Linked DNA regions of Callithrix jacchus. The protein of the gene in region 4 purifies or fractionates together with the protein of the main gene of each other region. This does not show direct contact. Links are inferred from orthologs where the notes say so. Each region holds a gene or a part of one and is shown on either strand. Other genes may lie near its edges.

The links.
Region 1: the proteins of STK25 (region 4) and PROSER2 purify together in Homo sapiens (affinity purification with mass spectrometry; 3 studies listed by BioGRID and IntAct, counting the BioPlex papers as one, with this or other methods). This does not show direct contact. The link is inferred for Callithrix jacchus from reciprocal best matches to the Homo sapiens genes STK25 and PROSER2.
Region 2: the proteins of STK25 (region 4) and CAB39 purify together in Homo sapiens (co-immunoprecipitation; 3 studies listed by BioGRID and IntAct, counting the BioPlex papers as one, with this or other methods). This does not show direct contact. The link is inferred for Callithrix jacchus from reciprocal best matches to the Homo sapiens genes STK25 and CAB39.
Region 3: the proteins of STK25 (region 4) and SIKE1 purify together in Homo sapiens (affinity purification with mass spectrometry; 4 studies listed by BioGRID and IntAct, with this or other methods). This does not show direct contact. The link is inferred for Callithrix jacchus from reciprocal best matches to the Homo sapiens genes STK25 and SIKE1.
Region 5: the proteins of STK25 (region 4) and CTTNBP2NL purify together in Homo sapiens (affinity purification with mass spectrometry; 6 studies listed by BioGRID and IntAct, counting the BioPlex papers as one, with this or other methods). This does not show direct contact. The link is inferred for Callithrix jacchus from reciprocal best matches to the Homo sapiens genes STK25 and CTTNBP2NL.
Region 6: the proteins of STK25 (region 4) and PPP2R1B purify together in Homo sapiens (affinity purification with mass spectrometry; 3 studies listed by BioGRID and IntAct, with this or other methods). This does not show direct contact. The link is inferred for Callithrix jacchus from reciprocal best matches to the Homo sapiens genes STK25 and PPP2R1B.
Region 7: the proteins of STK25 (region 4) and FGFR1OP2 purify together in Homo sapiens (affinity purification with mass spectrometry; 5 studies listed by BioGRID and IntAct, with this or other methods). This does not show direct contact. The link is inferred for Callithrix jacchus from reciprocal best matches to the Homo sapiens genes STK25 and FGFR1OP2.

What each region holds. Positions count from the first base shown.
Region 1 is NC_133508.1:2,290,009-2,293,508, reverse strand, and holds part of PROSER2 (proline and serine-rich protein 2), read left to right. Parts: intron 1-2,437; coding exon 2,438-2,690; intron 2,691-3,500.
Region 2 is NC_133507.1:152,263,591-152,267,090, forward strand, and holds part of CAB39 (calcium-binding protein 39), read left to right. Parts: intron 1-70; coding exon 71-189; intron 190-3,500. UniProt on the Homo sapiens protein: Component of a complex that binds and activates STK11/LKB1. In the complex, required to stabilize the interaction between CAB39/MO25 (CAB39/MO25alpha or CAB39L/MO25beta) and STK11/LKB1.
Region 3 is NC_133508.1:152,760,526-152,764,655, reverse strand, and holds the start of SIKE1 (suppressor of IKBKE 1), read left to right. Parts: upstream 1-1,330; 5' UTR 1,331-1,407; coding exon 1,408-1,578; intron 1,579-1,790; coding exon 1,791-1,896; intron 1,897-2,659; coding exon 2,660-2,802; intron 2,803-4,130.
Region 4 is NC_133507.1:162,786,950-162,790,987, forward strand, and holds the start of STK25 (serine/threonine-protein kinase 25), read right to left. Parts: upstream 2,801-4,038; 5' UTR 2,719-2,800; exon of another isoform or gene 2,657-2,718; intron 2,357-2,656; 5' UTR 2,257-2,356; coding exon 2,227-2,256; intron 2,154-2,226; exon of another isoform or gene 1,885-2,153; intron 1-1,884. UniProt on the Homo sapiens protein: Oxidant stress-activated serine/threonine kinase that may play a role in the response to environmental stress.
Region 5 is NC_133508.1:150,364,140-150,368,435, forward strand, and holds the start of CTTNBP2NL (CTTNBP2 N-terminal-like protein), read left to right. Parts: upstream 1-1,496; 5' UTR 1,497-1,555; intron 1,556-4,296. UniProt on the Homo sapiens protein: Regulates lamellipodial actin dynamics in a CTTN-dependent manner. Associates with core striatin-interacting phosphatase and kinase (STRIPAK) complex to form CTTNBP2NL-STRIPAK complexes.
Region 6 is NC_133511.1:11,467,480-11,471,721, reverse strand, and holds the start of PPP2R1B (serine/threonine-protein phosphatase 2A 65 kDa regulatory subunit A beta isoform), read left to right. Parts: upstream 1-1,442; 5' UTR 1,443-1,463; coding exon 1,464-1,577; intron 1,578-2,402; coding exon 2,403-2,493; intron 2,494-2,888; coding exon 2,889-2,989; intron 2,990-4,242. UniProt on the Homo sapiens protein: The PR65 subunit of protein phosphatase 2A serves as a scaffolding molecule to coordinate the assembly of the catalytic subunit and a variable regulatory B subunit.
Region 7 is NC_133510.1:44,307,404-44,311,450, forward strand, and holds the start of FGFR1OP2 (FGFR1 oncogene partner 2), read right to left. Parts: upstream 2,801-4,047; 5' UTR 2,552-2,800; coding exon 2,362-2,551; intron 1-2,361. UniProt on the Homo sapiens protein: May be involved in wound healing pathway.

The DNA.
Region 1 (3,500 bases), on a different chromosome or scaffold from region 4:
TTCTGATCCCTGGACTTTTGTTTGTTTAAATTGTTTGGAAGTTATTTCAAACTTAATGAAGTTGGAGAACTCCCACATACCCTTTAATTTTAAAATTTTTTCCACATTTTAGCACGCTCTCTTTCTCTCTATATATATCTACACACACATGCATGCTTTATTTTTTCTGAACCATTTGAATGTAGTTGCTATATAATACTCCCCTCAATACTGAAGTACATTTTAAAAACAAGGATGCTCTCTTACATAACCACAGGCAGTTGTCAAAGTCTGATTTCTGATCCTTTTTCTTTTTTTGAGACAGAATCTCACTCTGTCACCCAGGCTGGAGTGCAGTGGTGCAATCTCTGCTCACTGCAACCTCCACCTCCCAAGTTCAGGTGATTCTCCTGCCTCAGCCTCCTGAGTAGCTGGGATTAGAGGTGCATGCCACCATGCCCAGCTAATTTTTGTATTTTTAGTAGAGACAGGGTTTCACCGTGTTGGCCAGCCTGGTCTTGAACTCCTGGGCTTGAGTCATCTACCTGCCTCACCTCTGATTTCTGGTCTTTTGTATGTGACCTGCTTTTTCACTCTGGGAAGTCTGGGAAGCTTTCAGGGTCTTTTCTTGGCTCTCAGTATTCTGAAATTTCACAACAATGCATACCGTGGCATGGGTCTGTTTGCTTTTTCTTCATTAGGTTGTACATTCATGACTCCTTTCAATTTGGAAACGTGCTCCTCTTCAGAGGCATTCCCATGAATTACTTTATTTTGATAATTTCTTCCTCTCATTATCTCTGATTTCTCTTTCTGGAACTCCCATTATTCACAAAGTGGCCCTCCCAGATCTATCCTCCAACTTTCTTGCCCTTTTTTTTTCATAGTTTTCTGATTTCACAACTTTATCTTTTAAGCTTTTATTTTTTCACTTTTTTCTGCTGTTAATTTTTTTTTGTTTCTAATAGTCTTTTATCTTGTAAAGAAAACAACATGCTGTTTATAGATTCAGAATCTCTTACCTGACAACTGATGATGCACCTTTTTGAAGTTTTCAATAGTTCATTTCCTGTAAGTTGCATTTTTGTCCTTTGTTTTGATAGCTCTTTCACATAACTGTTTTCCTCAGCCGCTCCGTGGTTGTTAGCTATCTGCACCTACTCCAGAGTCGGACAGTAAGAAACTGCTGCACAGGTCTACGCTGGGACTCATTGACCGTCATCTTTCCCTGTGACTAATCTTGCTGGGGGACCCTTGGGATCAGTTTTCTTGGCCTTTGGATCCTTCAGTTCCCCGGAGATGACACGTACAGTCTTCTGTCTGGAGGGTGGCCACTTGGCTGCACTGACGGCCACACTGTTAACACGTCCTCATCTACACTGGTAGCCTACCTTGTTAACATAGCACTCCACCGTCAGCTTTGCTCTGTGGCCCCTCTTCAGGGTTCCTCTGTCACCTTTGAGAGTAAGTGGCTAGTTTTGTGCCAGGATGAGCTTATTGCTTCTGAAAGAGACTTTCAAACAGTTGGGCTCTCTTCACCTTGCCCACACTTCCAGAGCCGCTCAGCACCTCCAGGGCCTGAGCTTCTGGGAGGTTCTGCAGGACGCAGCAGGTGGGTCTCTGGCTTTCCTGGGCCTTCTCACTCTGTCTCCATCTGTCCTGCTGCCCTGCTTTTGTTCTGTCATCACTCGTCCTGCTATTTTATCGTTGTGATTTGTGCCTTTAAAAAATCCATTTATTTTGCCAGGCATGATCGCTCACACCTGTAATCCCAGCACTTTGGGAGGCAAAAGCAGGTGGATCACCTGCGGTCAAGAGTTCGAGACCAGCCTGGCCAACATAGTGAAACCCCATCTCTACTAGAAATACAAAAAATTAATTGTTTTAATTGGACATGGTGGTGCATGCCTATAATCCCAGCCACTCGGGAGGGCTGAGGAAGCAGAATGCCTTGAACCTGGGAGGTGGAGGTTGCAGTGAGCCAAGATCACGCCACTCCACTCCGGCCTGGGCAACGGAGTCAGATGCTGCCTCAAAAAAAAAAAAAAAAAAAAAAAAAAAATCCCTTGTTTTAGTAAGGTTTCTGGAGAGAGAAGAGATAAATGTGAGTTCAATCCACTGTCTTTAAGCAGAGGTTTCCTGTGATTATGGAAAAACAAGTGTGCCAGATAGCAGTAGGCTGACAGCAGCTTGCCAGTGCATTCCCCAACAGGCCCTTTTTGTCATTGACTTGCTAGGAACCCCAAGGTGAGGGCTTGTTACAAAGCTTTGAGGCTCTGCTTGGCTCTGCCTTTCTGAGGGTGATGGGGAGGCACACACAGGCAGCATGGCAGGGCACTCAGGACAGTGAGTTCTGCCCAGGGCTATGGACTGATCCTGAGTTTGCCTGGGCTTTTGTCACTTTAATGAAACTGCTGTTTGTTTTCTTCCATTCCCAATCCCCAAACCTGTTCTCTAGGATGATGAGAGCCTGAAGTACCTCACCCATGAGGAAAAGGATGTCCTTCTGTTTTTTGAGGAGACGATCGACTCCCTGGACGAGGACTTTGAGGAGCCAGTGCTGTGTGATGGGGGAGCATGCTGCGTCTGCTCCCCGTCTCTGGAAGAGAGCACCTCCAGTCCCTCCGAGCCTGAAGATGTCATCGACTTAGTGCAGTTGGTACCTGGCGCCAGGGAAGCCGAGGGCCTTCCAGAGGGGACCCAGGCAGCAGGTGAGGGGGAAGCACAGGCCAGGCCTGGGACATGGTTTGCCGGTGTCTGTGGGGCACAGAGATACTTCTTTTTGTGATCTCCTGTGTTTGCCAGTAGAAGCTGTTGAGTCTTCCCAGATTTTTTTAGGGGAAAAGCATCCTCGGCAGTTTCATTGTCCAGCAAAGGGAAATGCCAGAGGGACTAGAATAAAGAAGGAAACGAACTGGGCCCAGAAGCGGAGTTTACAGTTTCCTTTTTTTGTTTTTTTCTTTTCTTTTTTGAGATGGAGTCTCACTCTTGTTGCCCAGACTAGAGTGCAGTGGCACAATCTCAGCTCACCTCCATCTCCTGGGTTCAAACAATTCTTTTGCCTCAGCTTCCTGGTAGCTAGAACTACAAGCGCCTGCCACCACACCCGGCTAAGTTTTGTACTTTTAGTAGACACACGGTTTCGCCATTTTGGCCAGGCTGGTCTTGAACACCTGACTTCAGGTGATCCACCCGCCTCAGCCTCCCAAAGGGCTGGGATTATAGGCGCGAGCCACCGTGCCCGGCCCGGAGTTTACATTTTCATACACAATGTACACATGCACAGAAAGAAAATTAGAAATGGCTTCCAGGTAATTATTTTACAGGCTGGGCGTCATGGATCACTTGAGGCCAAGAGTTCAAGACCAGCCTGGCCAACACAGTGAAAAGTAACTGGTCCTGGTGGTGCATACCTATAGTCCCAGCTGCTCCACAGGGAGAGGCACCAGAATCTCTTGAACCCCCCCGAGGCTGCCGTGAGCCAAGATCGCACCACTGCACTCCAGCCTGGGTGGCAGAGC
Region 2 (3,500 bases), about 11 Mb from region 4:
CATTTGGGAGGGTGAATGGGCATTTTGATGTTTAGTCAGGAAAATTTGTTAATGATTGTATTCCTAATAGGGCAAAAAAGACGTGGCTCAAATTTTCAACAATATTCTCAGAAGACAAATTGGTACAAGAACTCCTACTGTTGAATACATCTGCACCCAACAGAATATTTTGTTCATGTTATTGAAAGGGTATGTACAATGTAATAAAATTTGTATTCTTAGTTGAACATAAAGGAAAGGTTGCCTTGAGAAAAAAGCAGGATGCTGAATGTGGGAAGCATTTTCTCTGTAATTGAGTCAGATAATTTTTCCGCAGATTTTGAACACATTTTCCTTGTTGAAATTCAATATGTGAGCTAAATTGAATTTGAAAATACCCTATAGATGGGAGCTTAGAATTAGGTGATTTCTAAGCTTTTAAATTCACAAATCCAGCATGCCTGAAGGGAAAAAAATAATCCTCTGTGGTCTTACTTCTGTTCTCTAGGACTTTAAAAAGTAGGAATTCATTGCAGTATCAGTTAAGTTCTATATTGAAAGACCTCTCCTTTGGACATAATATGCACACCATAAGGCAGTAAAAGCTGCCTCTTAAGTGAAGCATGATTTCTCTATAGCTTTACTTTGTTGAGTCAGCAAAGTACATGTTTATGAATTAGTAGTGCCCTTTGATTTTTACCTCTGTGTGTCCTCTTACTAATCCATATAATTTGGCAATTCACAATGCATCTTCCTGGAATTACTACTGGTCTAAGCAGGCATTAATGTTTGGGTGGTCTTGTCAATTTAAAAGCAGAGAAAAACAGAAAAGCCTAAAGACTGAACCATAGAAACAAATGCCCTTCTCCCTCATCCCTGAGCCTTCTTGACTGGCAAGGTAACCTCTTGTTCTTTCCCACCAGAGTCGTGTGCCAGCCCGAGTATGGTGTGCATCTGTTTGTCCCAGCATTGGTGGGGCCTGTTCTATTAAGATGGTGGGCAGGCATGTTCCTGACATGACCACTGGCATGAATCAGCTTGCTGTCCTCCTCCTCGCTTTATAGCTTGCCTCAGTCTGATTCACATCTCTGCGGTTTAACACTTCCCCCAAGTTCAAACTTGTTTAGACAAAGCATGAGTCAGTGCCTGTGTTGCACGCCAGCATTCTGCTTCCCTCTTTCTCTTTCTAACCATCTGTGTTACTTCTTCAGATGTTGGGCTACAGAACTTTTGGCATCTAACTTTTGTTGTATCAATTCAGAGTTGTATGAGTAAACATGTAGTGGGTAGTGTGAACCTTTAGTGTTCTTAGAGCAGCTTTCAGGTGCCTTCATGTATTTTTAAAGCCCATATTTCCTTTTCCATAGAAACCAGTGATTATTCAAATCAGTATTTTAGTTAGCTGCCGACATTTTCACCTGAGAGTAATCAGAGGCATATGAGTGTTGTTAAATGGCATGTAAAGAAAGACTTTTGAGATACAATTTACAGTTTGGAGCTCTCACCTACGCTCTCCAGGGCAGACACTTCCAGCTAGGAAGTAGGGTGGAGCATGCAACTGGTCAATCAACCAGAAGCCCCACCCACCACCTTTGTTGTGAAAAATGTACATACAACTAGAGGGAATAATGTGACATACCAGTTCCTACCCTCAACCCACTTCAACAGTTACGAATGTTCTGTCGTTCTTGTTCCTTGCCTCCTTTTTCCTCTGACACATGATCACCTCAGTATGTCCCTAGTACACAGTACAAAACACAGTATAACACAGTTAACGATACCATTTGCAAACCTGATGTCTATTGCCCAATTTTCAGATTTCCTCAATTTTCACAAAAAGAGCATTTCACAGTTAGTTTATTTAATATTAGTTCCAGACTGAGCGTGGTGGCTCACACCTGTAATCCCAGCATTTGGGAGGCCAAGGCAGGTGGATAACTTGAGCCCAGGAGTTTGAGACCAGCCTGGGCAACATGGTGAAATGCTGTCTCTACTAAAAATACAAAAATTAGCTGGGCGTGGCGGCGCACACTTGTTATTCCAGCTATTTGAGAGGCTGAGGCACAGGAATCACTTGAACCCACAAGGCAGAGTTGCAGTGAGCCAAGATTGCGCCATTGCAGTCCAGCCTAGGTGACAGAGCAAGACTTGGTCTCAAAAAAAAAAAGGTTCCAAGCAAGGTCCACAAACTGAATTTGGTTAATAGAACTCTGAGCTCTCTTTTCATCTATAATAGTTAATATTATGCCATTTCTTTGTTGAAGCCTGGATTGCTTGTTTTGTAGAAAAATCATACATTTTCTGTTTTAGACTTGCATTTCTGTTGTTTCTTGAACATGTTCCACTATCCGCTATCGATTTAAGTGGTGGATAGTAGATCTGGCTTTTTTATTAGATTCAGATTCACTTTGGTGGGGGGGAAGTTCATGGATGGTGCTGTGTGCTTCATATCAGGTGACACTGGTTATCCCATTTCTGGTGATGTTCGATTGACCAGTGGATGTAGATATTGTCAGTCTGTCATCTGCCCTTTCACTAGTGGTTTTAGTTTCCATTGAGAATCAATCATTGCCTAGATTCAGAATGGCCGTTTCCCAATTGTGTTATTTCTTCTTCATATAATTGTTTATATAAAGAAGAACCCTTCCTTTTTTTGATGACTTAGTTATCTCAAAATATTATCTCATTTTTTAGTATAATCAGTTGGCGACATGGCCACTTCCTTAGATAAGCATTGAGTTGTTTTAAGGGTCATTATAAACTCAAGGTTTTTTGTTTTTTTTTTTTTAAAGACGAGGTTTCACCATGTTGCTCAGGCTGGTCTTGAACTCCCAACCTCAGGTGTCAGCCACCACGCCCAGCCTTAAACTCAAGTTTGTTTTTTTTTTTTTTAATATATTTGATATGTCTCAATCCCTTCCAGTCATTACTTTCTTGTATCCAGATTACCTCATCTTTGGCTATTGGGAGCTCCTTGAAGTTGGCTTCTGTGATGCTTTGGCAAGACCCCATCAGTTTGTGATGGCTTCCTTGCTTTCTGGCATAGGATAACCATCTTGCTCGTTTTGTACGAGTCCTGCCAGACCTGGAAACAGCTGTTCCTTCAGGGAGCCCTGTGAACAGCATTTTAAGATTTTTGTACTTTCGTTGATTGATTTAGACTGCTTCCATATTATGTGATTATCTTCTTAATCTGTAAGTACTTCTGTGCTAGATACTTATTTGGGGGGCTATGCTGCTAATATTAGCATGCATTTGAAGTCTACATTTGGAGGCGATAGGATTTTTTTTACTGGCATTTTACATGTTAATGTGCTGTTCACTCTCATGCTCACAGGTTATACAGCATAACTGTTTGCCTTGGACTTATTGGTTTATGGTTTTATCATTTAGACAAGGTTGACAAGCCTCCATCAAAACCTGCTCAACTTGTTGTACCAAACTATCTCACCCTTGTCCTTCCTGCCTACTAAAGATCAGCAGAGATGACTTGTATGATCAGCCATTTTGTAAGCAGGTAT
Region 3 (4,130 bases), on a different chromosome or scaffold from region 4:
ATTTACAATAGCAAAAGATGGAAGCAACCCACTGGATGAATGGATAAACAAAATGCAGAATATACAATACAATGGAGTATTATTCAGCCTTAAAAAGGAAGGAAAATATAATATGTGCTACTATATGGATAAAACTTGTGGACATAATGCTAAGTGAAATAAGGCAGTTACATAAATACAAATGCTGTATGATTTCACTCATGTCAGGTATTCAGGAAAGTAGCATGGTGGCTGCCAGGGGATGGGGAGAAGAAAGAATGAGGAGCTACTGTTTAATAATGCAGAACTTCAGTTTTGCAAGATGAAAGAGTTCTAGAGATGGATGCTGATGGTGGCTGTATAACAGTGTGAATGTACTGCTATTAATACTACTGAACTGTATGCTTAAAAATGGCTCAGATAGCCGGGCGCGGTGGCTCACACCTGTAATCCCAGCACTTTGGGAGGCCGAGGCGGGTGGATCACGACGTCAAGAGATCGAGACCATCCTGGTCAACATGGTGAAACCCCATCTCTACTAAAAATACAAAAAATTAGCTGGGCATGGTGGCGCGTGCCTGTAATCCCAGCTACTCAGGAGGCCGAGGCAGGAGAATTGCCTGAACCCAGGAGGCGGAGGTTGCGGTGAGCCGAGATCGCGCCATTGCACTCCAGCCTGGGTAACAAGAGTGAAACTCCATCTCAAAAAAAAAAAAGGCTGAGATATTAAATTTTATGTGTATTTTACCACGATTTTTAAAAAATTAAATGAAAATAGGTCAGGTGCGGTGATTCACGCCTATATTCCCAGCACTTTCGGAGGCCGAGGCAGACAGATCACTTGAGGCCAGGAGTTCCATACCAGCCTGGCCAACATGGTGAAACCCTGTCTCTACTAAAAATAACAAAAATTAGCCGCATGTGATGGCACATGCCTGTAGTCCCAGGTTCTTGGGAGGCTAATGCAGGGGGATCGCTTGAACCCGGGAAGCAAGGGTTTCAGTGAGCCGAGATCACGCCACTGCACTCCAGCCTGGGCAACAACAGCAAAATTCCGTCTCAAAAAACAAAAATTTTAAATTAAAAATTAAATGAAAATAAAAACTATGAGTAACAACCCACATCGATGAAAACCAGTAGGGAAAGGAGAACTTCCTACTGCCCAGTTAATCATGGCCTGACCAGCAGGCTGTGGGAATTGGAAACCAAGGGCGTGGCAAGGGCAGGTCTGGGGCTCCGCGCTGGGCAGGACTGCAAAGAAGCCACAGGTTCCAGCGGGTAAACCCGCAAACGGGACTGCTATTGCGCAGGCGCAAGACACCTTTTAAACGTGCCCGGAAGTGACGCTTGTAATGCTGAGACAGACTCCCAGATCTCAGCAAGTCGCGTAGCTGAGCCCGGCAGGTCCAGTGGGGTCGTGCCGCTGCTATGAGCTGCACCATCGAGAAGATCCTGACAGATGCCAAGACGCTGCTGGAGAGGCTGCGGGAGCACGATGCGGCCGCTGAGTCACTGGTGGATCAGTCGGCGGCGTTGCACCGGCGGGTAGCCTCTATGCGGGAGGCGGGGACGGCGCTTCCGGATCAGGTCAGGCAGAGGGTAGGAGTCCAGTGCTCTCGGATTCTGGGCACTGAAGGGTGGAGAGCGAGGTAAAGTGGGAACTCGGCCTGGAATTGATTCCGCGTCTCAGAGGGCGGCGGTGAGACATTTTTCCTGGGTCGGGGCTGAGAAACCTGCCCCGGAGCGCTGATTTCTGCCTCTTCAGTTGCATCTGCCGCTGTTCTCTACTTAGTCTGTCTCTGTTTGTCCAGTATCAAGAGGATGCATCCGATATGAAGGACATGTCCAAATACAAACCTCACATTCTGCTGTCCCAAGAGAACACACAGATTAGAGACTTGCAGCAGGAAAACAGAGGTTAGTCGGGCCTTTTCATATCTGGTAATAGTTTGAAAGGTATTGCAGAATTGCCCTAACCGTTCACAAAAATGTACATATATTTCCAGGTCAGTACTTTTAGTAGGCGAGTCTTCCTGTGCTGGCCCGGTAACAGCAAAGGTTTTTAGATTACCCTTTTCAAGATCATCTGACTGATTTTGTAGCAGCTTACCAAAGAGCTGCTAAGTAGAGTTGAATTCTTGCAAACTTTAATGTTTAATAAGTATTAATGAAAATAAACACTAAAGGTAAGGTTTAAGGTTTTGTTTATGTTCTTGTTCATGCAAGGGAAGCAGCAGAATGTTATTTTAAGGGTATATATTCTTCGGCTTGATTAGTATATTATTAATAATTGTAGTATTACTAGTTGTTTACCAGCGGGGTTTCACAGGTATCATTCTACTGTATTCTCCTATCTTCATTTTTAGCTATTTATTACAATGCAGTTAAGAAATACACTCAGAGACGCTAAATGATTTACTTACAAGTATTAACGAAGCAAGTTACAGAACTGAACTCAAACCCGTGTCTTCTGATGACATATCCTTTGTTGTTTCTGCTTCTCTGCCTAGAAAGTTATCTTTCACATAGACTTTAACTGTTCAGTTTTGTGGACTTAAACCCTGATTTACAGCTTTGGATTCATATTATCTCTATAGTGTTACAAAATTCCAACTGTTAAGACTTTGGATATGGGAGCGCTCTCTCAGACATCACTGCCAAGTTATTTTATTTTTGATAGAGCTCTGGGTTTCCTTGGAGGAACACCAGGATGCTTTGGAACTCATCATGAGCAAGTACCGGAAACAGATGTTACAGTTAATGGTTGCTAAAAAAGCTGTGGATGCCGAACCAGTCCTGAAAGCTCACCAGTCTCACTCTGCAGTAAGAAACTTTGAATAAATTCGAAATGAACTGAATTGAAATCTTGAGATTGTTCATTGTGTGCTTGTTTTTGTTTTGTTTTTTGAGATAGGGCCTGGCTCTGTCGACCAGGCTGAGGTACAGTGGCACGATCTCAGCTCACTGCAACCTCTGCCTCCTGGGCTCAAGCCATCCTCTCATCTCTGCCTCCTGAGTAGCTGGGACTACAGGTGTACACCACCATGCCCTGTTAATTTTTGTGTATGTGGTTTTTTGGTTTTTGGTAGAGATGAGGTTTCACTGTGTTGCCCAGGCTGGTTTGAAACTCCTGTGCTCAAGCAATCCATCTACGTTGGCCTTCCAAAGTGCTGGGGTTACAGGCATGAACCACTGTGCCTGGCCATGTGTGCTTGTTTTTGAAGAAAAGTAAGCTTGTTTTCCTTTCATGTTTATCACGTTTGTTGTTGATTTTGCCATGGCTTTGTAAAGATATGAATAGAAAGGAGGAGGATGGGGCTGCTCAGGTCCTTTTATTTGAGTAGGAGTAAGGTACCCCCTCCCTTACCAAGATCTCTTTTGAAGATGTTCATTAATTCTTAGCTCTCCCACCAAACATAATGCCAGTTAGTGTTGAAGATGCCCAGTAAACACTTGGTTGCTTATTCTTTATACATCTCACTTAAGCTCCTTTGTTGTAAGGAGCATGAATTCATATTTTATTCCTACCATAGTACCTGACATACAGCAGGCGGTCAGTAAACATTTTTTAAACTGAACTACATAGCATTATACCATGTTGTTAGGGAAGAGAAGTATGCTTTTTTTTAAAAAAAAAAACAAAAAAACAAGCATGGCATAGTTTCTATACTTTGCTTATGATCTAATTTGAGAGACTCAGTAATTATTCTTATGCTTGTAGGTGCTTCGTAGATGTCATTGTACATTCATGTGTACTGTATGATTTAAATCTAGATGTGTAGATTGGAGCCTACTATATGCTACTGTGAGATGCAGTGAAAGATAAGCTTCGTCTTAAACTCCATTGAATGCATTTTACTGACTTAAAAGTTTTAGGAAACAGATATTTTATAAATATTTGAATGGCTTTCATCTGGAATAGAAAAGTAGATTTTATTTTTTCTCTTATGGAGGAAAAAACTTGAACCTTGAAAGAGACAGAGTTTACTCAGATAGATAAACTTTCTAAGTGATATGTCCAAAGATGAAATGTAATAAGCTTCCTGCCAATTAACGTATTCAAATTTAAGTTAGCCACTTAGAGATAGTATCCAACATCCAATGGGTAGTTAAACTACAATTGATTTTTCAAAAAAAAAAAAATTATCTGT
Region 4 (4,038 bases):
GCTTCAGAGCAGGAGAGCACAGTAGACCCCTAAGCCAGAGCCAGGGCTCATCAGCCCAAGCAGAAACTGTGTGATAGGAACCCTCTTGGCTGTGATCCTGGTCCTGCAAAGACATCCCAGGGGGGAATGGGACCCTGCCACGGAGGCTGAGAACCCTCTTCTGGATATAACAGCTGTGGTCTGGATGACTCAGGCCACTCAGCTGACTCTGACGGTGGACACCTGTTCTTCACATCAGCCCTGCGCTGCCAGGTGTGCGGCCTCCACTTGCCCGTGTGTCTGCTGTTAGTGTTGCCCCACAAACAAGAGGAGTGGCCCAGCACACGCACCAGAGACATCCCCAGATGCCACCTGAGAGGCAGTAGCCGAGCGACCATACAGTGCTCTGGCACCCCACAGCCATTCGGGCCCTCCAGGGCCAGGCAGGAACTGGCTAGGCAGAGGCAAGAAGCCTAAGGCAGAAGCACAGGCTGCAGGGGGAATGTACCTCACTCTCCCATGAAGGGGCTGCCCCACAGGGCTCAGGACACCATGGCAACCATCTCAGGAGAAAACCACAGCCCCTCAGGTTTCCTGCCACTATCTGAAGTCAAGTCTCTCATTCCAGCCTAGGACAGAGGGACCCCTAAAAGGACAAAAGGTGTTTCCTACCTCTAGAGTCCCTTCTCCAGTGTGCCTGCACTCCCTCCCCTGGGTCTGATCACACCAACGACCAACAGGGTACCTCAGAGCTCCAATTTCTCATCCCAGGACCCAGGGGAGCCATTTCCGCAGTTCTTAAACCGGTGGCTGGGCATGGTGGCTCACGCCTGTAATCCCAGCACTTTGGGAGGCCAAGGTGAGAACACTTGAGGTGAGGAGTTCGAGACAAGCCTGATCAACACGGTGAAACTCCGTCTCTACTAAAAATACAAAATTAGCTGGGTGTGGTGGCACATGCCTGTAATCCCACCTACTCAGGAGGCTGAGGCAGGAGAATGGCTTGAATGTGGGAGGCAGAGGTTGCAGTGAGCCAAGATTGAACCACTGCACTCCAGCCTGGGCAACAAGAGTGAAACCCTGTCTCAAAAAAAAAAATTTTTTTTAATTAAAAAAAATTAACTGGTGGCAGATTTTTCTCCCAGCCCCTTAGTCATGTAAGTTACCAGATACAGCATGTCAAAAGCAAACCAAAAATCTGTTAGCGTAATTCGGCATCAGTCAGCATGCCCCAGTCCCCATCTGTGACCACAGCAGGTCCGGGATGCCTGGCCCAACAGCTGCACATGGTGTTCCGGGTCTCTAGGCTGGCCTGGTTTCCTCCAGAGCAGCTCTGGCTCCAGTTCCTGCCCCTGTGCGGACAGACTCGCTTCCTGTTCCACAGCACGCCCAGCTCGCAAGGATTCACACAGGAGGGGGCAAGGAGGGCCACACTTTTTAGCGGCGATTTCAACACCTTCAACAGAGCCAAGGCTTCAAGGGGAGCAAAACCAAACAGCTAAGATGTAAAAGTGGAAAGGGGTACAGGTGCAAGTCCCCAGGCCCCAGGCTGGCTGTCCCCACCCTCCTTTCCTGGCACACACTGCCAGGGCTCGCTGTGGTGGGTCCCTCTGAGGCCACCCGTTAAAACTCAAGGCCAGACGCTTCAAAGTGGCTCCATGGTGGGAATGACCAGAATCCAAAGAAGGAAGAGACGAGTCTCATCTTTGGGGAGCCGCCCGGAGCGGGTACGAAACGGTTCTGCACAGAGCAGCCTTCTCACCCTCCCCTGGGCAAAGCACACACGTGTCCTCCGCTTCCCGGCACGCAGCCCGCACCGGCCCACTCAGACCCGCTTCGCCACATTCCCTGCCCCTCGGCGCCCGTCAGGGTCTCCCCTCCGCTCCTGCCCAGCCCAACGCTGACCCTCCACTGCCTTCGGATGCTGCCGTGAGGTTCCCGCCCACGCTGGGGGCAGCGCCCTGTCCCCGAGCGGACGTCTCTCCACGCACCTCCACCACCCTCGCACAGGCGGAGCCACCGGGATCCCAGCCAGAGGCCTGCGAGCTTCCGCCACGCGAAACGCCACAGGCGCACGGCAGGACCCCGCCCCGCGCCCACCTCGGGACCGCTCTGCTGGGCGCACGACGCGCGCTCCTTTCCCCACCCCACGGCCCGCCCCAGCGTGGCGCACCCCCCGACCCCCCGGGAGACCCTGGCGCCCCTCGGTGAGACACGGCGAGCCTTCCCGACCTGCGCCCTCCTCACCTGGTTGGCAAATCCCCGGAGATGAGCCATGGCCGCGCCGCCCCAGACGCTCCGCCGGCAGCCCCAGGAGGCGTCGGGATCCCGCCAGGAGGCGCGGAGCCGTCTCCTTCGCCCCTGCCGCGTCAGTCCACTGCGAGGGACAGCAGGAGCGCTCGGTGCCCGTTTCAGTCATCTGAGAACGAGCTCCGGGGCGGCGGGCTGCAGAGGGGGGCCCCGGGAGACCCCCAGGCCGCCGCCCCGCCACGCCCGGGCCTAAGGCCCAGGCGCCCCGGGGCTCGCCGCCCCTCCCATCCCCGCCCCCACGTCCTCCGAGGCTGCTTCCTCCCGTTGCCCCCGCCCCGGTGTCCCCCCGCCACCGAGCCCCGCCCCGGTCCCCTCCCTCCGCCCCCTCCCCACTCGCCGCAGGCTCCCAGCCCGGCAGCGAGCCCACCTCCGAGGGGCTCCATCCCGGACTCCCCCGGCCCGCTCTGCAGTGCCCGCGAAGGCTCCCACCCGCAGCCTCCGTTCGCCCGCGGACGCCGGGCCTCCCAGCCCGCGAAGCAACGGTGGTGGCGGCGGCGACCGGAGAAAGCTCAGAGGAGGCGACGACGAGGGCGGTGCTTAGCGTTGAGGCCCGCGCACGGCTCTCTGGGACTTGGAGTCCTACCGCCCACTCCAGCCCCGGAAGCCTGCTGGCACTGGACTACAAGTCCCGGCAGGCCGCGCGGTGGGGCGGGGATCGCATGCGCGCAGCGAGGCTCTCTGGGAGCCCGAGTCCAGCTCCCGAAAGGCTCGGACTGCATCTCCCGGCTGGCTGCGCGGCGGGTCGGACGGGCCACGTGGTCGTTGTCGCGTCGCGCCCTACCTGCCTCGCCCTCGCGGGCCTCCCGCGTTTGCGAGCGCCGGTTGGGCGTCGTCTCCGACGTGACGGCGGCCGGGCGGCTTCTCCGTTGGGCTCTGCCGTGCGCAGCCCTGGTCCGAGCCCGCCAGCTGAGGCCTGGCGCCCTCCCCGCCTAGCCCTGAGGATTCACCGCAGCCGCCCAGGCTCTCAGCTTTGTCCTCGTGGGCAGAGATGCCCCAGCGCTGGCCACACCGCGAAGCACCTGTTTGCACTGAGACCCCGCCTAGGATCCCGCGCACAAGCCAGGGCGCACCAGGCCTTGGAGAAGCTACTGGCACAGCCCATCCTTGGGGCGAGTTGCTTCGCTTCTCCTGCCTCAGTTTCCTTACCTGCAAAGGGGTGATCATAGGACATCCTTGGTCACCCCGTTGTGACCTCTCCACCTGGGCTAGAGCGCCGGACGCGCCCAGGACAGTGACTGCTGCTAGAAACCATCATGGCACTGGGGTCACCTCCCCAAGGTCAGGGAGGGACTTGCAGAGCCCAAAGCTACCTGGTGCGTCCCCCTTCCCCGTGGGCCGCCAGTTCATAGTGCTCCACCCCTGCCCCGAGTGCATTCCCCTAGCGCACCGCAGGGGTCCCCACCTGTCCAGTGAGGAAGATTTGTCTCTCCTCCACTCTGTGTCCATGATGGCTCCGCACAGGTGACTATCCCGGCCTCCCCCACCCTTCCTTCCTCAAGAAGGTTCTGGCGTTTCTCTGCTCCCCGGTGAATGTTTTCTCATTGTGCATTGCCGAGTCCTTTAAGAAGCTAAGCTTCTTCCAGGTGAGGTGCCACGCGTCAGTAATCCCAGCACTTTGGGAGGCTGAGGCTGGTGAATCACTTGAGGTCAGGAGTTTGGGACCAGCCTGCCCAACAGGTGAAACCACGTCTCTACTCAAAATACAAATTTTAGCCAGGTGTGGTGGCGTGCTTCTGTAATCCCAGCTAC
Region 5 (4,296 bases), on a different chromosome or scaffold from region 4:
CCTTCTGGCTCTAATGTTTGCTTTACAATCATCCACGCCCATTCTCAGTCCACCCTGTGAGAGCCAACGTGAAGTGAGCAGAATATGGCATAAGTTTGGAGTCACACATCCTTACTGGAAGTTCTTTACCATTTACTAGCTTTTATTTGATTTCTCTGAATCTCTGTCTTCTCGTCCGTAAGTTGGACACAATGATATCTATCCTACACTGTAGGATAGATTTCTCACACAGTACTCAAGATGACATAAAATACCATTAAATGAAAGTACATGGCACAATGATAACATTAATAGTTGTTTACTTCATTCAGACTCAATCACAGACTGATTACATCCCTCGGTCAGACTGTAAACTGCATGAGGCAGGCTGCATCTGCCTTGAGGACTGTCTGACTAGGCAAGTACTAGGTCCCTAATGCTGTCTTGCAAACTGTAATTGCTAAGCTTAGGGATAATGTATTAATTATTAATTAATAATTATTTAGGCATTATATTTGTCTCATACGTATATTTAAAATAATGTGGTTATTGTAAATGTAACCAGTTGAATCAATCTGTGAGCTGACAGCCATTCAATGGAAACGGAATTAAAAAACTTTGACCTCAGGTAGGGATACAGCTAGTTAAACATCCACTCCTCTCTCTGAGTTATTTGGTCCTGCCTAGGACTTGCTGCCTCTAAGATCTGCATTCCTGTGTTCACAAGGCAGACATTCCTTGCATCCTCTGTACTCTCCACTCTCTCAGCTTCACTGCAAACCATTCCCCACAATATAATGAGGCCAAGGACAGAAAAAAGTCGCCTCAGTTGGCAAGCATAGAGAGAGAAAACCTGCCACACAAATTTGCAATTATTCGACTTCCGCCTGGAAAAAAGGTCGGCTGGGTTTACGTCCCCCAAAATTAGTATCCTCTTCTGTACAAAATGTGGTTGAGAGAAGGGTCATCTCCAGGTATTTCATCTTTGCACCCTTGCTTCCAGCACCACGCCCACAGAAAAAAGAAAAAAAAAAAGGGTGGCGGGAGCAGCGAAGCCAGGTTTTCAACAACTAATTCATTCTAATGCAGATACAAAAGCCCACTTCATTTATTAACATTCTGGATAAAACCCCAATCGCTCAGGCTTACCAGAGCCCTCCATTCCTAAACTCCCCATACAATCAGGGAAAAGCATGAAGCACTAGCCACGGTCCTGCCCAGAAACCACGCAGAAGGTGGAAAGTTGCAGACCCCGGGCCGGGAGAGGCGCGGACTAGAGCTCACCCTGAACCCCGGGACCCAGGAGGACACTTCCTCCCGGAAGTGACGCGAGCTCAATCCCAGCCTGGCTCTTCCCAAACAAAAGGGATCTTGGGGCCCCGGGAGGAGCTTGAATGACATTGGAGAAGCCCCGCCTCCAGTCGGCGCGGATTGGGGCCGGGGCTGGAGAAGCAAGGAGACGATTGGCGATGGTGAATGCCAATGTCCCCGCCGGGCGGCTGAGGGGGCGGAGCCTCAGCCGCTGTGGATGGGGAGTGGAGGCGGCGGAGAGTGGTTCCCGGAGCGTCGCGGAAAGGTAGGAGCCAGTAGCCCTGGGGCTTGGTGATGGCTGGGAGGCCGGGTTCTAGAGAGCAAAGCAAGGGTAGGGGCACCGATAGCCTCTCGCCGCCGTCCCAACGGCTGCCGGGCCCATCCCCTGAGGGGGCGGGGCCGTCTCCTCCACCTCCCGGTATTCCCCGAGGAGGCGGCTGGCTCCTCATCCTTCGAGGGTCCTCACAGCTACTTTTTGTTCCTTGTCGATTCCCAGCTCCTCAGAAGGGGGTTCCCTCTGACACCCCTCATTCAAAGGCTCCTCCCACCCCGCACCTCAGCCTTGGCGGAGAGGACTCACAGCTACCGATTCTCTAGGCTGCCGCCCCCAACCCCATTTTGTACCCCCGGAAGGCCATGCATTCCTCCCTACACCTGTCCCAGCTCGCCAGGCTGGAACTGGAGCTGCTTTCCTCCGTAAGATATAATTCGTGTTTTCCAAAAAGGAGGGATGGGGCGAAGCAAAAATCAAAGACGCGACCTAGACAGCCAGCTTTACCGAGGAAGCGGCTTCCCCGACTTGTTCTTCCCATCCCCCATTCTCTGATACTCAGCCTTCCTCCCGCCGCCCCCGGCATCTCTGGCCTTCTGTGAGGAGTCAGGGGCTCTCCTGCTTCGGGACTTCTTTAGACTCTAAAAGAGGAAGAAATAGGACCTCCTCTCCTTTACCCTTTGTACCTTCCGTCTACTTTCTGTTCCTTCTGGGATAGTCCAGCCTCGGAGGGTTTCTTAGATTTGAATTGCGTTTCATTTTTCCTTTTCCACCCCTATTTCTCCCCTGAGAACTTGGTGAAAAGCCATCTTACATTTCACAGTGAGGTGGGTGTGTTGAATATCTGCAGAGTTGGCTTTGTGTGGGCAGGAATGCAGTGTATGTGGCTTGACAGTCAATGAATAACACGGTGTTTTCAAATGAAACAGTATACAAAAGTAAATAAATAGCAGTCGATTAGGAATGAGTATATCCCAGTCTAGGGTGGGCTGGTCCATTGCTCAGGGAGACTGCAGTTAACCTTGAAGGTATACTGCAGGTTGAAACAAAAGGCAGGAAGTATTTGAAGCAAATTCAGGTGCAGTTATCTAGGTTTATGATTAATCTAGTCCTGCGGCCGGTGCTTCCTCTCTAACCCCTTTTTTAGAGTGTCCTTCTCCCCCTGCCCCCGGGAAACACATATATATTTTGATTGGCTTTACAATCACCTACCAAAATTGAGAGGATGAAAAGAACAATTTATAAATCTCAGAGATAAGAGTAAATAAAGGCAAGATAGAAATTCTAGCTATTCACGTTTACCAAAAAGTGTCTCTCTAGTGTGTTTCTAAAGGTTTTGTCAAGTTGGCCTTCATTTCAGCAGGTGCAAGGTGTTGATTTGGATCTCATGTTAATGTCATTGACTCTCCAGTAATCATCCATCGCTGGCACTTTTATATATTAAAGTTTGCCATATTTTTAGCGTAGTTTCTTTTGCTTTCAACCTCAAGTCCACCTCCCCACTGTCAGCTATAGCGAAAGCTGATAGCAATAGAATGCAAGGAGTTGGAATGACTGTTGTCTTTTACCTGCTTGATTAAACTTCCCGAAGGTAATTGTTTTTGAATAGTTAGGTTTCAAGGTTTCAGAGCCACTGGGTACTCACAGATCTTTTCAGCAATTATTTCCAAATCTCCAATAAGAAAGTACAAAGAAGAGGAGGGGGAGGTGGGGAGGGATAGCCTGGGGAGAAATGCCAAATGTGGGTGAAGGGGAGAAGGAAAGAAAAGCACACGGCCATGTGTGTTCCTACGCAACTGTCTTGCATGCTCTGCTCATGTACCCCAAAACCTAAAATCCAATAAAAAATTTAAAAAAAAGAAAGTACAAAGAAGAAACTGGAGGTTTCTGTAGCAAAGACAATGTGTGCTGCAATAGAAGGCTAAGACATTGGCCCCCAGCAACTACAGCAGAAAAAACTAAAAGCATAACAAAATCCCAAAAAGATAAGTCGTATTACGTCAGCAGAGAACAGAAAATAAACTAAGGTAAGAGTCTAAGGAAACAAAAGTTGTGGCGATTGCCGGGTTTTAATAGAGAGGAAAAGCAAACAATGTTCTTTTATTATTTAGCACAGTAAGCAAGATCTGTTTGTTATACTTTTGGGTCTTGAAAATCTTTCTTTTAACCTTTTCAGCATCTGTTTGGTCATGCTAGATGAAGACAAGAATAGTATGCGAGGATATAGGTCTGTTCTCTCTCCTCAAATTATACATTCTTTGAAGGCAGATAGTGGTATTTTTTTTTGTTCATCTTTGTATCTTTCACAGTTCCTAGAATGGCTTAATGAGTGTTTAATTTAGTTTGAAGCTGTCACCTTAAGATAGACTGACAGGTAATACACCGATAAGATGTGACACAGCTTGTTAGTATAAACAGCCTACTTGTTGTCTTAACTTGATTTTTCCCATCTACAGTCTTATGAAATTGCAATGTCTTAAGTGACTAAAATATTGAATTTTCTATAAAGAAATATCTGTGAGGCAGAATGTGGTGGCTTATTCTTACAATCCTAGCTGTTTGGGAGGCTGAGGCAGGAGAATCACTTGAGCCCATGAGGTGGAGGTTGCAGTGAGCCGAGATTGTCCTATTGCACTCCAGCCGGGGCGACAAGAGAGAAACTTCATCTCAAAAAATTAACAAAATTAAAATTTCTGAGATTTGCTGCTAATGACTAAAATTAAATCTTCGAAACT
Region 6 (4,242 bases), on a different chromosome or scaffold from region 4:
TCCCAAACTTTCATTACTACCAAAGGCTTTATCTGTTGTGCTTACTTCCAAGAACCCCATTTATTTATTTATTTATTTATTTACTTACTTACTTATTTATTTTTGAGACCAGGTCTCATTCTGCTGCCGAGACTGGAGTACAGTGGCACGATCTTGGCTCACTGCAACCTCTGCCTCCCCGGCTCAAGCAGTTCTCACTCATGTTAGCCTCCTGAGTAGCTGGGACTACAGGCGGCCATCACCAGCCCAGCCAATTTTTGTTTTTTTAGTATAGATGGGGGTTTCACCAAGTTGGCCAGGCTGGTCTTGAACTCCTGGCCTCAAGTGATCCACTCGCCTCAGCCTCAGAGCCCCATGTTTTAAAAAAGTTTGCCTCCTACACACTGCATTAATAGTTTTAATTTTATTAATCAGGCACATAGAATTACCATTTCAGAACTTGCGATCACCATATGTAGTTATCACTCCAAGCTGCTTAAATTCCAGTCTAAAACAAACAAAAAGGACATTCTAGTTATTCTGTGCTGCCCTGACACGGGTAGGTGAAAACTTGCCATTCAGTTTTGTAAGAAGGAGCTCCCAGATCTCCACTTCTTCCCCTTGCTGCCTCTGAGGACTCTTGGGGGTTTAGGGAGGCCAGTCTGGGTTTTCTTATTCAAGCAAAGTAGCCACCCCACCCAGTTTGGAAGGATTAAAGCTTGTCCTAGTTTTGCTTCATTGTTGTACTTCTAGCATGCTAAAGAGCTGAAAAATGGGAGGAAGAAAATACAACAGAAGGCACCATTCCAGTACCAAACTGAAAAGAAACACAAAAACAAGAGAGCAGCATGTTTTTAACAGCTTGCGTGGAAAAAATATTGACTGGGGAGTTTGGACAGCACTGTTCATTTTCTCTCACCGCCCGCGTTATTTGTCTTATGGAGCAGGAGCCAGATACCATTCTGGAGAACAGGCCGAGGGAAGAGGTGGAGGGGTTCTGTGGAAGCTTGAGGCTGAGCTGAGTAATTAGGGCTGGAGATCCTGTGGCTCAGTGCCAGGATGCAGTCAGGGGAGGTGCTAAAGCCTTCTTCCTCCTGGCCTCGGGCACTCTCTTTGGTCCGCCTGAGTCTTAAGAGGGCACAGCGCGGATCACCCAGGTAGGTCCCTGGCCCCTTCAGACGAGCCGGATGAATCACTGTCCCTGTTTCTTTCGGCTAGGGAAAGGACGCAGGGGTTCCATTCGCTTTCTCAGTCCACCCATCTTCTTGAGTTCAGACCTACAACTCCTGCATTGGGGGTCGGAAGGGAGCCTTAATCATCGGGACAGAAACTCAGCTCCTCAACCTCGGCTCAACTCGCGTGGCAGCTTTAGTCCCTCCTGCCAGGGCGCGGGGCGGGGCCTGGGAGCGGGGCGGGGGCTGGGCGCGGGGCGGGGCCTGGGCGCGGGGCGGGAGGCGGTGACCAGCAGTAGGAGGAGAAAGAACATGGCGGGCGCAGCGGGGCCCGGGACCTGCCCGGGAGCAGCCGGCGGAGGTGGAGACGATTCGCTATACCCTGTCGCGGTTTTAATCGACGAGCTCCGCAATGAAGACGTGCAGGTACTGGACTGAGCCCGGGGAGCCGAGGTGGGCCCGGTCGGTCGCGTGGTAGAGAAGGGGGAAGGCCTGTGCCGCGGTGGCTATGGCCGGGGGACTGATTGAACCGGACTCAGCAGAAACTTGGAAGGGCAGGCGAGGAAAGATCCGCGAGGGGACGTGGTGGCACGCCCCGACTCTCCCGGTGACCGCTCCAGTACCCCTGCTTCGGACCCCCTGAGGCGTCCGCCCGGAGCCTGGCCTTTCCAGGGCGGTTGTCCGGGAACCCGCTTCCCGCCTGGGCCGCCCCGCTTCGGGCTGTGAGGCAGCTGGAGGAGCGCGGTGCGGGGCCGAGACCGGGCTGGAGCGACTGAGGGCGCAGGATGCGCAGAAGCCCTTTGAAGTGTCCCGGAATCCCTTCGTCTCGGCCTAGAACTGGCTCGGCTTGTTGGGTAGAAAGAGGAGGTGGGATTGCCGATCAACCTGGACGTGTCGTATCAGCTTTACGGGAACTTTTCTTTGAAACGACAGGCGTTGTATTCGACCGTTTCACCTGCTTCACCACTGCCAAAGTGCCCTCTTTTAAAAATTATCTTACTTCCTGGGTGTTGTATTATCTTTCATTCATTTCTCTTCCGGGGCCTTCTGAGTGTTTCTCCTAGGAAATCTTCCGCTGGCTAGTGAGACCGAGTTACATTCCTCTTGGAAGTCCCTTAACAGTGAAATGTAAATGAAATGTTAGTTATCCTCATTCTTACCCGTGTCATTGTTTCACCTGTTAGCACCTTTTGTCTTTTGATCTAAATTTAACCGTTTCTTTACATTGATTTTCTTTCTCCTTTTCTGAAGCTCCGACTCAACAGTATTAAGAAGTTATCAACAATTGCCCTAGCACTTGGAGTAGAAAGGACACGAAGTGAATTGCTGCCATTCCTTACAGGTATGTGAACCTTTGTTTAAAGAAAGGCAGGGACATTCCATTTTCCAGTAGCTTTCAACACTGACTTTTTTAGTTTGTTACCCACATTAAAATGAGCCGGGTGGTTTATGTGCAAAAGAAACAGAACAGAGTATATTGTTACTTGTGGCTAGATATATTCAAACAATAACCATTTAGCTATTGGGAAAGTAATTGCTATGAGAATATGAATTTCCAATTTGTTGTGCAAAACAGATCTAGGAAGAGAGTTGATTGAGGAGAAGGAAGAAAATGCTGTTAGGATTTTGACTGGGCCACCTTACTGGTTGCATAGTGAATCTGGTCCTAGTTTTGCGTCAGTGTACGGCTGCTGTGGGAGAGCTGTGTTGATGAGTCCCTGTTGTTGTCACTTCCAGATACAATTTATGATGAAGATGAGGTACTATTAGCTCTTGCTGAGCAGCTGGGAAATTTCACCGGCCTAGTGGGAGGTCCTGACTTTGCCCACTGTCTGCTGGTGAGTATACTGCTGCTTACCCTCCTTCCAGAACTTTTGCAGTATAAATGATACATTGTTTCGTGACAGGCATACTGCAGCATTTTTTATACAGATCTTTTATGGGCAGATTATCATAATGTTAGTCACTGAGAGAATAAATAATGTAAGCATTTTGGACTCAACCCATTCTTTTTTTTTTTTTCTATGAATAAGATAACTTTGTCCTTCTGTGTCTGTATACGTATTAGTTTAGATGTAGGGAGAAAAAGGATTTGATTGTTTTTATGGTTCCCCTCCCCCCAGGTTGAAAGTCTTAATTCTCATCTAGTGGCATTTTGTCTTTCTCAGTATAACTTTTGCTTCTGACTTTGTGAGTTTGATGAATTTAGTTCAATTTAATTGACATTTATTGAGAGTCTGCTTTATCAGACACATCGTTAATTTGCAGTGTTAATGTGAGTGGGCTTGTGGTACAAGCCTGTATAGTACCAGCTACTCAGGAGGCTGAGATGGGAGGATCACTTGAGCCCAGGAGTTTGAATCCAGCCTGGGCAACGTAGTGAGACCCCTATCTCTTAAAAAAAAACGTGACCACCAGGCTGGGTGTGGTGGCTCAAGCCTGTAATCCCAGCACTTTGGGAGGCCGAGGCGGGTGGGTCACGAGATCAAGAAATCGAGACCATCCTGGTCAACATGGTGAAACTCCGTCTCTACTAAAAATACAAAAAATTAGCTGGGCATGGTGGCGTGTGCCTGTAATCCCGGCTACTCAGGAGGCTGAGGCAGGAGAATTGCCTGAACCCAGGAGGCGGAGGTTGCGGTGAGCCGAGATCGCGCCATTGCACTCTAGCCTGGGTAACAAGAGTGAAACTCCATCTCAAAAAAAATAAATAAATAAAAATTACCACCAAAGTAAATGGAATGAGGTCCCTGCTTTTATGTGCCAGCAAATAATTACTGTGCAGTCTTATATGGAAAGATAGAAGTATCTACAAAATACCCACATAATAAAGGGGAGAAAGGGATTAACTCAGGGTGATCAGGAAAGACCTCTTGGGAGATGATGTTTGAACTGGGTTTTAAAAGATGACCAGGAATTCAACAGTTGGACAAAGTAGGATGTATGCTTCAGGGCTTTCAGTACTGGGTATGTAATACGATTCTCGCAATTTCGATCTCTAGCTCTGACTTTTCCATGGAACTCCTGAGGTAGATTGATTAATAGATAAGTATGAATGTGTATATATGGAGAGATCTATATTTTTCTATCT
Region 7 (4,047 bases), on a different chromosome or scaffold from region 4:
CTGAGCAACACTAACCTTATACTGTCATTTGGGCAAGAGGACAAGTTTTATATCCATTTTACCAATGAGGAAATAGATGCATGGATTCCAAATCTAAAAAGCCAAATGATAGCACCACAAAGCAAGAAAAGAGCCAAACTAGTCCCAAAAATAGAACTTCTGATCCCCAGTCCGGTGTTTTATTCTTGAGCCAAGTTGAATTCCCAGGGTCCTGTTTGCTTTTTACCTATATAGAAACCACCTCAAACTCATTAGGTGGGGGGAAAAAAAGCAAATTCCCTCATCCTACCCCACAAACGGAACATGAAAGATATTATGAAAAGTTTTTTGGGTCAGCAATAGAAAAGAAATAAGAATGCATATGAAATTTTAAAGAATAAAAAAAAGTCAAATGTTTTCCAGACATAAAAGCCTAGCAAACCATTTTAATTAGGTGTCACAGTTAATTATAAGATCAATGAATGTTTACGGATGGGCTTTTTAAAAATCGTAATTAACATCCGATTTATGAAAAACTCTTCTCCAGACTGCATAATGAAATACAAAATGAACTACATTTAAAATCTGTTTTGTTAACTATAAAAACCTACCTATTCAGGGAAAGGAATTATAAACAGCAGATAGCTTAAAGCATAATTTTATTAGCAATTCAGAAAAACAATGACAAGAGTTTCTAAGAATTTGCATGTTCATTTCCTGTATGTGAAACCACACAAAAGTTTGAATATTTTATAATATGCATTTACTTTATCACCTTTTTTGAAGACCATTGTGCTTCCCCTCTTTTTTGGCCAGGAAGTAGAGTAGGAGGAAGACTGTTTTCCAAACTCTCTAACAAGTTTCAAATTTTATAAACAAACTTCAGTAAAAAAGGAATATTCTACACTTTTCAACCTGTTTTTATAGTGCCTATCTTAACTAGCCATAATACACTTACTTACATTATTTTCTATAGGTAGTTTCAAATTACAAGTGAATTTTTTTTAACCAAGTTTAAAAAAATTTTTTTTCTTTTCTGTGTTAGTCATATTCTCGCCCACTTTACCACCCAAAGACTTTCGCAGTCAGACTTCTGGCAGAAGGTTTAGAACATTCTGCTGCTGATAAAAGAGAAACCACCGCCCACCCAAGACAGCAATTGCCAGCTGTTTTTTGGTTAAGAAAAATTTAAGGAAATTCAAGTCAAAATTTTTAAGCCAACCACAGAAAATAAATGGGAATATGTATGAAATATAAGAAAACTTTTAAAGAATAAAAAAAATTTCGAATGTTTTCCAGATAATAAAAGCCTAGCAATCATTTAAATTAGGCATTACATTAATTATAAGATCAATGAATGTTTACAGATTGGAAACCCTTCTGTTTCCCTTAACTGCAAGTAAACTACACCTACCACTACAGGAATACAAAGAAATATTCTGACTACTGATATACCCTAGATGTGTCTTTAAATGTCAAGAATCTAGTTTAAATTTTTTTCATGTTCAAGTTATTCGTCTCTGATATTAAGTAGTACATAATATGAACTGACCCATATGAAAATAAAAAAATTTAAAATATAGTTATGGTTTTCATAGAAACATAATCATAAGAAAGAAACGATGCATACAAATTACATATAAAAATAAGCACTGATACAGGCATATCATTGTATCTGAAAGCAAAGAATATTTTCACTGTCCTTGAAAACAGTGCAATGAATACATGTTTGGAACTGTATTCAATTAATTTTTAAAGTTGGAAGAAAGACTTTGGAAGTAATGGCGCTGGAGGATTTTTTTTTTTTAAATACACGTTCCCTTAGAATTGTGGCTGAATTTAAGTTTCATATTCAAACAATTATGACAATTCAGGAAGGAACTAACCTAATCTAAACCAGTTATTTCTAACCTACAGACTAATGAGTCAGTGGAAGAGTTGCCTGAATGCACATACTCCAAGCACTGTCTGTAGTCTAAAACATTTCTGCTCCATTTTTCTAACATAAACAGATATTATAAAAATAAAATACAAAGTCATTTAAAAGCATAGTAGTTTTCTGTCATATATAATTTCAATCAACAATTACTAAAAGTACAATTGCGTAAGTGTAGGATTTCTTAAATTCAAAACAGATCAGGGGCCTTTAAGCTAATGCACAAAGTTCCTTCTGGCTCCAAAATTCTTTGATATTAAAAGATGAAGAACTCTTAACGGTGAATTCTTTAGCACTATTCCATTTCTATAAGCATACATAGGTACATATAAATAATGCTTACTACGAGCCAAGCATTGGACTCTTCGTCAGAGATGAATAAGACATGATTCCAGACCCAGGTTCAAATTGGCAGGAGAGACAGATACATAAACAAATAATACAACCTAATAAATACTGCAGAAGAAATGTTTCAAACGCGTTGGGAACACAGCGGTATCCATTCACCTGCGGGAGTCTGAGAAGAAAAAATTTATGATTTGGGTTTTGATAGGTGGTAAAACAGAGGAACAGTAAGCGTTCTAGACAGATGGTACCGCACGTACAGAAGTACAGAGTTGTCAAAGTGCATGGCATGTTTGAGGAAACAGCCAGTATAATCTGCTATGGTCAGATATTAAAGCAAGACTAAAAGGTAAAATGGATTGGGACAGACTGTAAAAGATCCTGAATGATGATGTACTTAACAATTAGGATTTGATTCTGTCAGCAATATGGTTACTAAAAAGTTTAAGGAAAGAACAGAGATAAATATGTATTTTAGAATAACTCTATGGAAGGATTATAGTAGGGAAACCAGTGTAGTAGGGCAAGGGGCAACTAGAGTATTTCTGGCGAAAGAAAAAATAATACAGTGCAGTGAGTGGAAATGAAGAACCAAGAATAATTCCTGGTTTTCTAGTTCGGATAACAGGACAGATAAGGAACCATTATCAGGGATGGGATACAGAAGGACGACAGGAAGAGAACCAGAACAGAGTAATGCTCCTTGGAGAGCAGTTTCAAGAAACAAGTTATCTTCATTAAACGCTGCTAACAGGTGACTGAAAGGGTCCCCCGTCCGGTGGTGAGCTCGCAGGTGGGTAAGGCAGGAAGAAAGCAGATACGGAAGATGTGTCCACAGGGTTAGGGCCAAGGCTTTTCATTAAACTTTCTGAACCGCAGCTCCATTAAGAGGAGCTCGGAGCCGGGGGACACGGAGAAAAAGTCCGGCTCCCAGGAGTTGGGAGCCCGCGGCTGGAAGCGGCCGGGAGCTGGCGCCGGTGGTTCTAGAGGCGCAGGGCACCGGCCTCAATGAAGGACGCCCGCGACTCGCCCACCACCGCTCCTGTCCCTGGATTTAGTCTACTTACTCTCCTTTTAGTCCCTCGCAGGCGTCAGCTGTGGCGATCCAACTCAATGCCTCAACCAACCCGGACGTATGCACCCAAGGGAAGAAACTCCTCGCCCCTAATCCGCCTCCTCAGCGAGCAGACGCAGAACCGGACCGAGGTGGCAGGGGGGTGGCCGAGAGGCCAGCGGTATTCAGCCCCATCACCGACTGGGGAGACACCTCCGCCGACCGCCTCCGACCGTCGCTCCCGGAGGACTCCAGCCTCGCGAGATTTCCTTCCTCGCGTTACGGTGAGGCAGAGCCGACCTCTAGCCGCTTTGCGCGAGCATGCGGGGCGGGGCCCTTTTATGTCCCTCCCTGTCCTCCCCTCTCAGGTTTTCACTCGGCCTCTCGCAAAGTCTCGCGATTTTTTCCAGGGGAAAGCGGCCTGGGTGGAGAGACCGAGAAGGGGAGACCGAGTGGGTGGGCCCTACGTTTAGGGTGCCGTGTCTGGTTTAGCCAGTACTGTGGTTGGTACTTCGCTGTTTGGGAGGCTTTCAGGTCGCCCAGATCCTTCTTCCCAATGGGTGACTGGGAAAATTAGCGGGTAGAAAATCTCGAGGGGTGGAGGCGTGTTTTTTTCTCCTTGGCCCCGCCCTCTTCCTGTTCGGCGACTGAGGCGCCTGGCCCTCCGAGGGGGAAGGGAGGCTTGGTGGGGTGGTGGGGGTGTCCATCGGAGAGCGCTGTGCGCACGCGCGAG